Linked DNA regions of Ovis aries. The protein of the gene in region 1 purifies or fractionates together with the protein of each later gene. This does not show direct contact. Links are inferred from orthologs where the notes say so. Each region holds a gene or a part of one and is shown in the gene's direction. Other genes may lie near its edges.

The links. The genes of interacting proteins can lie anywhere in the genome.
Region 2: the proteins of SORBS3 (region 1) and DLG5 purify together in Homo sapiens (co-immunoprecipitation; 3 studies listed by BioGRID and IntAct, with this or other methods). This does not show direct contact. The link is inferred for Ovis aries from reciprocal best matches to the Homo sapiens genes SORBS3 and DLG5.
Region 3: the proteins of SORBS3 (region 1) and WASL purify together in Homo sapiens (co-immunoprecipitation; 3 studies listed by BioGRID and IntAct, with this or other methods). This does not show direct contact. The link is inferred for Ovis aries from reciprocal best matches to the Homo sapiens genes SORBS3 and WASL.

What each region holds. Positions count from the first base shown.
Region 1 is NC_056055.1:43,071,711-43,075,210, reverse strand, and holds part of SORBS3 (vinexin), read left to right. Parts: intron 1-1,250; coding exon 1,251-1,559; intron 1,560-2,319; coding exon 2,320-2,423; intron 2,424-3,008; coding exon 3,009-3,270; 3' UTR 3,271-3,500. UniProt on the Homo sapiens protein: Vinexin alpha isoform promotes up-regulation of actin stress fiber formation. Vinexin beta isoform plays a role in cell spreading and enhances the activation of JNK/SAPK in response to EGF stimulation by using its third SH3 domain.
Region 2 is NC_056078.1:32,821,739-32,826,027, reverse strand, and holds the start of DLG5 (disks large homolog 5), read left to right. Parts: upstream 1-1,489; 5' UTR 1,490-1,504; coding exon 1,505-2,126; intron 2,127-4,289. UniProt on the Homo sapiens protein: Acts as a regulator of the Hippo signaling pathway.
Region 3 is NC_056057.1:89,673,191-89,677,370, reverse strand, and holds the start of WASL (actin nucleation-promoting factor WASL), read left to right. Parts: upstream 1-1,380; 5' UTR 1,381-1,748; coding exon 1,749-1,865; exon of another isoform or gene 1,866-4,180. UniProt on the Homo sapiens protein: Regulates actin polymerization by stimulating the actin-nucleating activity of the Arp2/3 complex. Involved in various processes, such as mitosis and cytokinesis, via its role in the regulation of actin polymerization.

The sequences.
Region 1 (3,500 bases):
GTGGCACGCAGGCTTCTGTACAGCACGTGGGCTCTAGAGCATGTGGGCTCAGTAGTTGTGGCGCTCAGGCTCTCTAGTGTGGCATGGGGCCTTAGTTGCCCCACGGCATGTACGATCTTAGTTCCCTGACCAGGGATTAAACCGAGTCCCCTGTGTTGGTAGGCGGATTCTTAACCACTGGACCATCGAGGAAGTCTCCTTCCCATTTTTATTTGTTTATTTATTTTAATTAATTTATTTGGTTGTCCTGGGTCTTAATTGCAGCATGTGGGATCTCGTTCCCAGACCAGGGACCGAACCTGGGCCCCCTGCATTGGGAGTGCAGAGTCTTAGCTACTGAACCACCAGGGAAGTCCCTGGCCCATTTTTAAAATGTTCAAAACCTCTAGAGTAGTTGTGCTTTTTCTCAAGTTGCAGGTTGGTAAGCTGTGAGGATCACATCAGCATTTTTAAAATAATAGAATGGAAGTCTTAGAATACCTTGCATGTAGAAAGGGTATTTCATCCAACTCTTACACAGGTGTGTGTGTGTGTGTGGGTGTGCTGGATTGATATTACAACATATTCTTTTTACTATAGATAATGGTTCAGAAAGCTTGAAGAATGTTGAGAGTTCCCTGACAGTCCAGTGACTAAGGCTCTGCACTTATAATGCAGGGGACAGAGGTTCCATCCCTGGTCAGGGAATTCAGTTCCCATGTGCAATGCAGTGCAGCCAAAAAATTCAAAAAGAAAGAAAAAAAAGAAAATGGAGTAATGTCCCAGAAAGCAAGGGAACTGGTCTCTCTTGGTTTATTTTGAGGGCAAAGGCCGTGAATGCACCTAGTGAATGTTTCCCTGGAAGAGCTGGCCTAGGGAGAGAGGGGGCAGGAGGTGGCTGGATGGAGAGAGGTGGGAGCAGGAAGGGGCTGGAGACCATCCTTCCTAGGACAGCCCCACTAACAGTAGTCAGTATGTGGGCTTGGGGACACACCAGCTGTCCTCAGGGAGTTTGTTTTTGATGCGGTGATGACCTTCAAGGTGGAGGCAGGAAAGGACCCAGTCATGGCAGTGATGCTAAGACCTGCACGGTGCTCCTTACCAACCTGCCATGGAGCTGTGTGACCTGTATATAACCAGCTGGTCTTCTCCAAGCCTGACCCCTCCATGCAAGGTGTTAGGTTACAATGACTCTGCCCCATGTAGGCACCTGCCTATGCCTGGCAGCCAAGGGCCCTGCAGATACTACCACCCTCCCTCTCTGTGACCAGGGGGAGCGTGTCTGCCTGATCCGCAAGGTGAATGAGCACTGGTACGAGGGCCGCATCTCGGGTACCGGGCGCCAGGGCATCTTCCCCGCCAGCTATGTGCAGGTGACCCGGGAGCCCCGGGTCCGGCTCTGTGATGACGGCCCCCAGCTCCCGGCGTCTCCCCGCCTGCCCACCGCCCGCCTGGTCCATCACCCCAGCTCTCCCTTAACACCGCGCAGCCCAGCTGACCCCACTGACTGGGGGGGCCAGACCTCCCCTCGCCGCACCGGCGTCTCCTTCCCTCCCCAGGAGTCCAGACCCCAGACCCAGGTAAGGTGACCTGCCTGAGACCCGAGAATGAGCCCTGCCCCCTGTGCTGTATTCCCCATTCCCGGGAGGCTCTGCGTTGTGGAATCCCCCGCAACTGCTCAGGATAGTCTAGTGGGGTGACCGAAGAGAACCTTGCGTTGCAGTCCTTGAGGACCCCAGACCCTGGAGCTGCAGCCCAGGGAGGCAGGGGTCTCTAGGTGGGACCTCCCAAACCAGCACAGGCCTCCTGACCTTCCAGAGTCCACTCTTGGGATTTATCTGTATCAGCGTCTTGGAACAGGGTGTGCTGGGAGTCGGGGTATCTGCCATTCACCTGCTGTGTGACCTTGGGCAGATCTCTGTGGGTTTGAGTTTCCTCGCTTGTAGAATGGGGATAGCGAATCCCACTGCAGAGGGTGGTTGGTAGGAAGTAGCTGATGGGCAATGATGGCCATTGGTCGTCATGCTGACATTGACCACAGACAAGGGCATGTGCTCTTGTGTTCATCCCCCACTCAGCAAATGGTTACGGGGAGACAGAGCCCATGCCCAGGACACCTCCTGCTCCCAGCTCTGTGCACACGTGCAGATCAGCCACCTCCCCTACCTGGGCCCGACTTCCCAGCACCTGTGAGGTCACAGTCAGACAGGTCTCCCTGTCCTATGGGGACTGCGAGATAGATGAGGCAGTGTGGGATGCTGTTCCTGGGGAGAGGGGCAGGCCTGTTCACACCTCCTTCCTCATGCTTGCTTGTGCCCGCCTGCCCTCCTATGGACCCAGAGTCTCAGCACCCCCGGATCAGCTCTGTCCCATCCTGGAGGCTCCAGCCATCCCCAGGACCTGGGGACCTTGTCCTCCACCACCTCCGAGATACACTGGACCCCGTGAGTACCATCTGGGATGCTTCGTCGGCGTTGGGGACTACCCTGCAGGCAGTGCTGAACACACATTAATTTACCCCTCCCTACCCAGGATGGAGTTGGGAAATTTCTCCTAAGGAGTGCTTGTCCTCATAGTGTTTATGGGTGATTTTGGTGGGGTGTGTGTGGGGCGGGGGGTGCGGGAGTGGGAGGACACTTGTCTGCAGTGTTCCTGACCTGTCCCTCCTAGCTCTGGGCCTGAGAACAAGCCTCCCACACTGGGCACCCCTCCCCTCCGTCTCTCACTGAGTTTCCAGGGCTGAGGTCAGCATGGGTGTGTGCGCAAAGTGGAGCACAGATTTGAAGGCATTGAGAGCTCAGGGGAGGTGGAGTGTGGGTGAGTAGGGCTTGGAGAGGTGGGAGCATGCCTCAGATAGAGGCACTGAAGCCAGAAAGAATCGCCATGCCCAGAGCTGGGCCAGGGACTCATGGGAGCATGGAGGGACCTGGGAAGTTCCAAGAATGTGTCCACCTTGGTTCGGGACTATCCAGGCCTGGTCTTGGGAGGGGCTAGGGTCCTGGTGGTTGCTATGGCAGTGTTTCCTGCAGGTACCGGGCGATGTACCAGTACAGGCCCCAGAATGAGGACGAGCTGGAACTGCGGGAGGGGGACCGGGTGGACGTTATGCAGCAGTGTGACGACGGCTGGTTTGTGGGTAGGTGGGCCTGGCGGGCAGGCTGTGGGCAGGTGCATCTCAGAGTTCTAGGGGACTGGGCTGGGGGACAGGCCAGAAAGGGTATCTCAGAGTCCCGGGAGGAGGGGCTGGGGGAGAGGCCAGAAAGGTTATTTCAGGATCCTATGGAGATCTGAGTGGCTGCTCCTGCCTGCCAGGACTGGTTCAGCAAAGATTCATGGGCTGACCACCTCCCACCCTTCCAGCCCAGCACTGGCTACTTTCCCAAAGCCAGCACTCTGTTCTCATTCCCTGAAGAAGGGTGAGGCCTGGGAGGAAACCAGACTAGCTCAGGGTCATTGTTGAAGCCAGTGGGACTCAGGGCAGCAGGGTTCCCAACCCCCAGGCCTCTGTTCCTTCCATCATA
Region 2 (4,289 bases), on another chromosome or scaffold:
TTGCCAAAGAGACGCGGTGGCTCCACAGCACACCCCACCGCTCTCTTGTTCTTCCAGCAACCCATCCCTCCATCTCTTGCTCCAACATCCCGCTTCTTTAGACACTGGGGACCAACCATCTAAAATGCGGGTGAGGCATAAATCCTGATTAACTCGGTCTCAGGGGATAACGCTGGGATATTTTCTATATAGGGCTTCCCTCCCAGCTCAGTCGGTAAAGAATCTGCCTACCAATGCACTGTAGCCCGCCAGGCTCCTCTGTCCCTGGGATTTTCCAGGCAAGAGTACCCGCCAGGCTCCTCTGTCCCTGGGACTGTATTCTTGCCTGGAGAATCCCAGGGACAGAGGAGCCTGGCGAGCTACAGTCCACGGGGTCGCAAGAGTCGGACACGACTTAGCGACTAAACCACCATCATTTTCTATATAAGAGCTCCTTACAGTGAGTGGGGATAGCTCACAGATTTGGGGGAGGTCTAAATTTGGAGGTGGCCAAGTTTAGGGGACATGCCCTCAGTTGTCTCCAGGCTTGATTGTGGAGTATTTCAGATTAGAAAACGCTAGACCGGGGGGCAGGGCTTTGTTTGAAGCGGGTCTCCAATAGCTTGGGGGCTGGCCATGTGCCTAGCTGAGGGGGCGGGCTGCTTCCCACCCGGCCCCTAACTCCGCGAACTCTACCGCGGGTGGAGCCTGGGCCTCGGAGACCCGGAGGGCCAGCGCGCGCGGTGTCCCCGCCTCCCAGGCGGGCTCGGGGCGGGGAGGTGGGGACCCCTCCCCTTCGCCCATCCCCTCGGGGCCGGCCGCCCGGGCTCCTGAAAGGCCGGCCGCGGGAAGGGAGGGGAGAGAAGAGGGGGGCGGAGGGACAGACCGGCGGCGGCGGGGCGCGGGCCTGGCGGAGCGGGCGGCGGCCGCGGGGCCCCGGTGAGCCGCGCCGGGGCGCACGGAGCGGGCCGCGCCGGGGCGGGCCCTGAGCCGTCGAGGGGGCCTGGCGAGCACGACCGCGCCGCTTGTCCTCTCGCAGCTGTGATTGCGTCCGGGGGGCGGCGTTTCGGGGCGAGTTTTTCCTCGCGGGGCCGGCGAGAGAGCGGCGCGCACCGAGGGGGGGGGAGGGAGGGGGAGCATGCCCGGCTGGAGCCGGGCCTCGGGGCGCGCCCCGGCCGCCGTCCCCACCTCCGCCTCCTCCTTCTCCTCCTCCGTCTCCTCCTCCTCCTCCTCCTCTTCCAGTCCCGCCGCCGCCGCCGCCAACATGGCTGCGCTCCTGAGCCCGGGAGGCGGCCGCTGCTGAGCGCTCTCGCCGCCCGGGCCCCCAGCCCGCCCAGGCCCCGGCGCATGGCCCCCGCGGCCTCGCGGCTCCCGGCGCGCTAGGGCGACCGCCAGCGCTCGCCGCCCCGAGGCGCCCGGGTCCCGACGCCGCCCGCCCGCCCGCTTCCCCGCCTGCGCGCGCGCGCCCGCCGGCCTCGGGGAGCCCGGGAGCCGTCCGGCCGGGCGGGGCGGGGCGGCCGCCACCATGGAGCCCCAGCGCCGGGAGCTGCTCGCCCAGTGTCAGCAGAGCCTGGCCCAGGCCATGACGGAGGTGGAGGCCGTGCTCGGGCTGCTCGAGGCCGCGGGAGCGCTGAGCCCCGGCGAGCGGCGGCAGCTGGACGAGGAGGCGGGAGGCGCCAAGGCGGAGCTGCTGCTCAAGCTGCTGCTGGCCAAGGAGCGGGACCACTTCCACGACCTGCGGGCGGCGCTGGAGAAGACGCAGCCTCACCTGCTGCCCATCCTCTACCTGAACGGCGTCGTCGGGCCGCCGCAGCCCGCCGAGGGCGCCGGTGAGTGTCAGACCCCTCTGCCCGGCCCCTCGCATCCGCCTTCCGCAACTCCTCTCTCCGGTTCTCCGAGAGGGGAGGTCGCGAGGGCCATTCATCTACCTGGCGCTGGCCGCGCGGAAAATTTGCTTTCCTTCAGCCCGCCGGGGGAGGGGCTGGTGCGTGGACCACCCCCCCACCGTCCCCCGCTTCCCACCTCCTGCAATCCCGCCCTTGCTGTGAACAATGCCCGGCACTGTAGGCCTTCATTCTCCAGGTGCCGCGGCACGCAGCGGGGTCCACTAGAGACCACCGGGTCCAGCCTGCGGGGCGACCTCGGAGGTATGTCTAGTCAGTCCCTTTTCTAAGACTCTTCATCCACCAGTCCTTTGAGAACCTCTGCTAGCCTTCAGTCAATGTTAAGGTCTAAAAGAATAGAACCCGGGCCAGGGCTGGTACTCCTGAATTTTGGTCCCTGGCACCCGGTTTCAGGACCGCTCGTGCCTTTTCACTTTCTGATTTTCTTAGCTCCCTCTGCTCTGAGCTCAAGTCTGTTTTGCTCGGCGAGACTTGTGGTTGACTGTGCACAATGCCTGCTAGGTTTCTTTGGAAACTGGGCCGGGAAAAGTTGGGGGGAGTTGCATTGCACCATGGGAAAATCTTAGTAGTAGCTGCTGGGGCTCAGGTCTTTCCCTGAGGGTGCGCTAGCTGTTTGAAGAGGGAAGGCTGGTGGCTGGTACCCTTGGATGGTGGGTGATGAATCCTTGAGTATTCCTGTGTATGTGTGTGTGTGTGTGTGTGTGTGTGTGTGTGTGTGTGTGTAGGTGGGTATTACTGAGAGTTGGTGACAACTGGTAGGCTTGGCGTGGCCTGTTTGGGGATTGTGGAAAGCCAGGCTTTTAGACAGGGAAGCTGAGGAAAGCATAGCTCTGAGGAAGGAAGAGCCCGCAATTGTTGGGCACCTACTGTTGTGACAGGCACTCTGCTTTGTCACGTTTAATTGTTACCACTCTGTGAGCTGTGATTCCTACTTTTCCAGAGAGAAAACTCCAGCTTGGACTGGTTAAGTCGCTCAAAGTATTGGGCACCAGGAGTTTCCAATTATGACCCATTGTTTTATTTAACCCCTTTGGAGCCAGGAAGCAGCAAGTGCCACCTTTTCTGTGTCTTGTCTTTGTTTTAAAGTGAATGGAGAGGGCTGACAAACTGCCTGTAACAGCTTGTAGGCCACAGGCTGATGAGACCCGTTTATTTGGCTGTTAAAAGCCTGAGTTATTAAGATGATTTTATAAGCTGTTCCTGGTAACAGCTCCGTTGGATATTGGCCATCTCAACCAACTTTTTGTAGTGAAGGCAGCTGACATACAGAGACCGAACTGCTGGCTACACAGCAGATCGTTTCATTGGTGGCCCTCTGTCTCTACTGTGGGTTTCTGACTCTAGCATTTTCGTCTCTCAAATCTGCATTGTCCCCCAATTACGATCATTTATGCTGGTCAACCTAGTCCTCTCCTGGGATGATGGTTTGGAAGATGTTAAGAAGAGCTGTTGGATGTGGCTATGAGGATAATAAGGTCAGAGGGAAATCTCTTTGGGCTAACTTTTTATTCTTTTCTTTTTTTAAAATTAATTTTTTCATTGGAGTGCAATGTAGTAGTTTCTGCTGTTAGTTTCTCACTTTACTGAGTGAGTCAGCTAAGGGTATATCCTATAGCCCCTCTTTTGTACATTTCCTTCCCATTTAGGTCACAACAAAGCATTGTGTAGAATTCCCTGTGTTACACAGCAGGTTCTCCAGTTATTTACCTATTTTATACATAGTATCTTTTTAATTGCTTGCTGTCTGTCTAGCTGTCTGTGTTTGAAGGAAGAAATTGATCAAGGAAGCTGGAAGCTGGTGAAAGAATGCAGCCTCAAGTTCTGGGTGGGATGTGTTGAATCAGTGCTAGCTTTAATCTCTGGAATAGATGAATTGTCATTAATTAGGTCCCTCTCTTTTCCATGCCTGGTGGATAAAGGTGGGGCTTCTCCGAGCTGAAGTTCTGGAAGCTGGTCTGACTTCTAAGGAAAGAATGGAATAAGGTTTGGATTTTATTCTCAAGGGCAGCTTTTCAGACCCTAGTTTTAACACAGTGTAGAGCTGTGTAGTAGCTTTTCAAAAGAAAGTTGTTCATTTTGGTTTGGTTGTTGTTCGCTAAGTCGTGTCCGACTCTTGCGACCCCATGGACTGTAACCCACCAGCCCACCAGGCTCCCCCTGTCCATGGGATTTCCCGAGCAAGAATATTGGAGTGGGTTGCCATTTCTTCCTCCAGGTGATCTTCCCGACTCAGGGATCGACCTGGGACTCCTGCATTGCAGGCGGTCTCTTTACTGACTGAGCCACAAGGGAAGCCCAATTTTAGTTAATAGTTTAGAAAAAAACAGGATGGCATTTGACCTGGTAAGATGCCATGTAGAGCTTTTGGGGGTGAGGGATGACATGGTGTAACATAAACCGCAGAGC
Region 3 (4,180 bases), on another chromosome or scaffold:
CTTTCCAAACCTATTTTACAAAAAGTCTGCCTGCTTTCTCAAAATCACTTTTTTTTCCTAACACTGTAAACCAAGGTAACTTTGACATATCCATATTTTATGTGAGGACTCACAGAACTATGATTACATTTTCCTTTTAGATTTATTTCCACTCAGTTAATTTCATTAAGGCAGCCTTCATTTTTTAATAATTTTTTTAAAGAGTATTGATAATGGCTTAACAATCTGTTTAGTACACCCAAGATTTGTACTGGGAGCTTTCAGAAATATTAAAATCAAATAGTTTTACCAGCTTTCATTTGTTAAAGGATAGATGTCTTGAGTTTAACATGTTTTTTGTTTAAAAATAAACAAATACGATGGTAACGATTATACAATAAATGCTAATTTGTTTAAAGTGGAGATGTTTATTCTATAATTCAGGGCAGTGTGTATTATTTATCATCTCCATATTACCAAACTTCGTTTTAAGCCAGCTGTCTAGTGTTTAACCTACTGAGCAAAGGGAGTTACTCTAGTTTCCAATATTGAATATAAATTTTTAAAAGATTCCTGAGATTTCGGATTAAGTTAGATGTATTTTTCTGAGTGACATCTCTAAATGGGTACATTCATTTTGGATAAAAAGTAAACAAGGCCTTTGGTGTTTGAGAAGAAGAAAAACACGAGGAGGGGAAAAGGAAATATTTTTCAATTCATAAAACATCAGGGAAATGTGTGGAGGACCCATAGAGAAACGAACCCAAACTGCAATATTACAAATACATGTATCCTTTTGAGAAATACCACCGGGCAGTAGAAACCTTTTCTAAGTGCCTTTGCTTTTTAGGAACGTCCATCAGCAAGGTCTCTTCCACAATCCTGGCAGAGGCCTGTTCATCCATTTCCACTGTTGAAGTTGGGACAGTGTCTGAGAAACCGCAGGCACCTGCGGCTCTGAGCGAACTGGCGAGGAACACAGGGAAGGGCGTCCCTTCTCTCATTTTCCGTCTCCAGCTTCCAGAATTTTCTGACAGGAGCTCGAAAATCTTTTTTCTCGTGTCTCAGAAAAAAGCTACTTCGGGGACGGGTCTGCAATGACGCTCCGCAAAGGTGTGCGTCTCAGAAGAGGGGATGACAGCTCGCTGGCGGAGACGAGCCACCTCCTCTCTTCAAGCCTCTGTAGAGGACGACTATCCGAGGAACCAGTTCGGACGCCAAACGCTGCGACGGTCCCACAACCCCGCGTCACACCGCAGAGCGCCCGTAGCCCGCGCCTCAGCCGGAAGTGGGCGTGGCCTCGGGCCGGCTAGGCGAAGCCAGGCGCGGCGTGGGGAGGTGGGGTTCCTCCCGGGCCCGGCCCGCAGCCGCGCGTTTCCGGCGCGCTCCCCCGCGTCTCGCGTCCTGTGGTCTCGCCCGTACCCCGCTGCCATGTTGGATTGTGAGGCCGTTGCCGCCGCCGCCGCCGCCGCCGCCACTGCCGCCGAAGGAAGGTTGGGGGAGGAGTTGGGAGTTTAGCGCAGTCGCCGGAGTGCGAGGACAACGACCATCCGGCCAGAGCCTACCCCGGCGGGAACGGGGAGCTTCCCTTTCTCACAGCGGCCCGCCGTCGGCTCCTCCTTCCGTGGCCTCCTCCCTGCGCCGGAGGAGCTGCGAGATGCTACGCCTCTGATTCCCCTCCTCCCGCCCCTGTCACCCAGAAGGGGAACGAGCGCTCGCCCACTCGCCCGAGGAGACGGCCCTGGCCTCCCTACCCCGCCGGCGAAACCATGAGCTCCGGCCAGCAGCAGCCGCCGCCGCCGCGGAGGGTCACCAACGTGGGGTCCCTGCTGCTCACCCCTCAGGAGAACGAGTCCCTCTTCACCTTCCTCGGCAAGAAATGTGTGGTCAGTGTGTGAGACCCGCATCGCCGCCCCCGACCTTAGCCTCCCGGGCCCGGGAGGGAGCGCCGGGAGGTGGGAGTGGGGAAGGAGGCGGGAGCGGCGCGGGGAGAATCGGACTGCTGGCCAGGCCTTTCTCTGACCCGGCTCCCTGGGTGCGGGCAGTGCGGGCCGGAGGCCGCCTCTCGGACCTGCCCAGGGAGCAGGGAAGTGTCAGGTCCGCAGGCCTGTTCTGGAGCCCTGCTCGCTCGGACCCGGGTCCGTGCCTCTGCTGCTGGTTCAGACTTTACTGTCAGGCCTCGCGGGGATATTTTTATAGGAGCTGCCTGATCGTAGTAACTGGGCTCCTGGACTGGCTCTCGCTTCTCCTCCTACGACCCCGATGTGGGGGTACTTTCCTTCACAATGCCATTGGTTTCAGGAGTGGGTGTGGGTCGGGGACCGAAACTCAGATATGAATGAATCGGGCCGTAAGGTCGTCTTTTATTCTCCCTTGAGGATCTCAGGAAGGAATGAAGTCGAGTCCATCGGTTTAGAACGGGGGGCAGGTAATGCTGCTGCTCCCCACTGCAGAGAAACGAGGTTTATTTCTCCAGCAGTCTCTCTCAGGCCTGGTTTCTCTCCTCTCCACTGTTTTTGTTGTTGTTTGTTTGCATTGGTCGGAGATGCTGCTCTCCCAGAACCAAGCTCAGGGGAACCGCGATCTCCAGCAGTTCTTGCCTTTTGGGATCTGAGAATGGGTCTTACTTAGGTCGGTGCTGTGCGGCCTGTTCCAACTCCAGATGGCTGGTTGGAGCCAGCAGCTCTGCTGTGGGAAGGGGAATGTGTTGTTGACGGAAGCATTCATTACATTGGCTGCTGGCGCTTCTGGGGGTGGGGAGGTTGTGCTCTGTGGGGTAGGCCTTGTCAGCCTGCATCTTACTGGGGTGGCCGAGTTGAGCTGTGGTTGAGATTGTTGAAACGCTGTTCAGTTCCCTTTCTCCCCTCTTTACTGGTTAACACCTGCAGAGTCTGTGCCACTGGCACCCCGGAACCACCGAGGGAAATGTCAACAGAGCTGTACCTTTTACAGCTTTCCTTCTAATGTTAAATGTGTCACCCAGACTGCACCTGCTTGTTTAAGAAGTTAGGATTAGACAAGTTCTGGGAAGTTACTAGATTAATTGTTAACTTTCTAGGAGTTTACCCATTGTATCCTGTTCCACCTGGTAGGAGATTGAATCATTACGTTACGTGCAGATGTGTTTCGTATTTCAAAAGTTAGACCTGATCAGAATAAAAAAAGGTGCGTTAGAATCAGGATTTGGGAAAACAGCTTTGAAGACAGTCAAGCCCCCTCTTCACTCTCCCCACACAGTTTTTAAACAAACAAGATAACTGAGCCGGTGAGCCCTCTGTCTCACAGCAATTTAGTAATGTAACCGGAACTAGAAAAGCAGGACTCCTCATGCCTGTTGTGTTGTACTTTCCACTACATCATGTTGTTTTAGAAGTTTTTTTCTTACTTGTTATTTATTTAAAAGTAGTGTTAAAGAAATAATCACTTTTTTTTTTCATCAGAAGCTGATACAATTAAGGTGTAAGATTCTTAAAGCAGCCCTAATTTGTGCATATTTTCAATTTAGGAAAATCTCCAGCCATTTGAATGTGACATTATCTGCAAATGAAAAGTTTTTTAAAAAAATTTTCTGGTACACTACTTATGTTATATAATCTGTCTCAGAAAAGGAAGTAATTGTACTATGTGTTACATACCAGACACATTAGGCAGGGAGGGACATTACATTTATACACAAGCATACTGACTAATTGCTCTGCATTTCCTATAATGTTTACTGGTGTCAAAGAAATGACAGACATGTAAGAATACAGCGATAGATAAAGAATGGATTTCTGTCATTTAGAACCACACTGTTGGAGTTACCTGCTCTTGCTGTATGAAATGGTTGCAAAGATTAATATTTGAAGTCTCCAATTATTAGACAGTAAAGAATGAGATCTTAATTTCTGGAACAGTTCCCCCCCCCCCCCTTTGCTGACCATGCAGTATTTTGTACATTATTGAAATATTTTATCTCATTAAAAAAAAAATCATGCAATGAGATTTACAGGTCAGACCAAATTTGTTAAGCAAGAAGTGCATTCAGAGCTTTAAGAATTATCAAGAAAATGAAGCTGGAGTAGTTACAGTCGTAGCTCTCAAGGAGTTTCATTCCTTCTTTCACTCAGCAAAGTAGTATTGAGTAGCAAAGAGTCGGACACAACTGGGCAACTTCACTTCCTTTCTATAGTTCCTTTTGGAGAAGGAAATGGCAACCCAC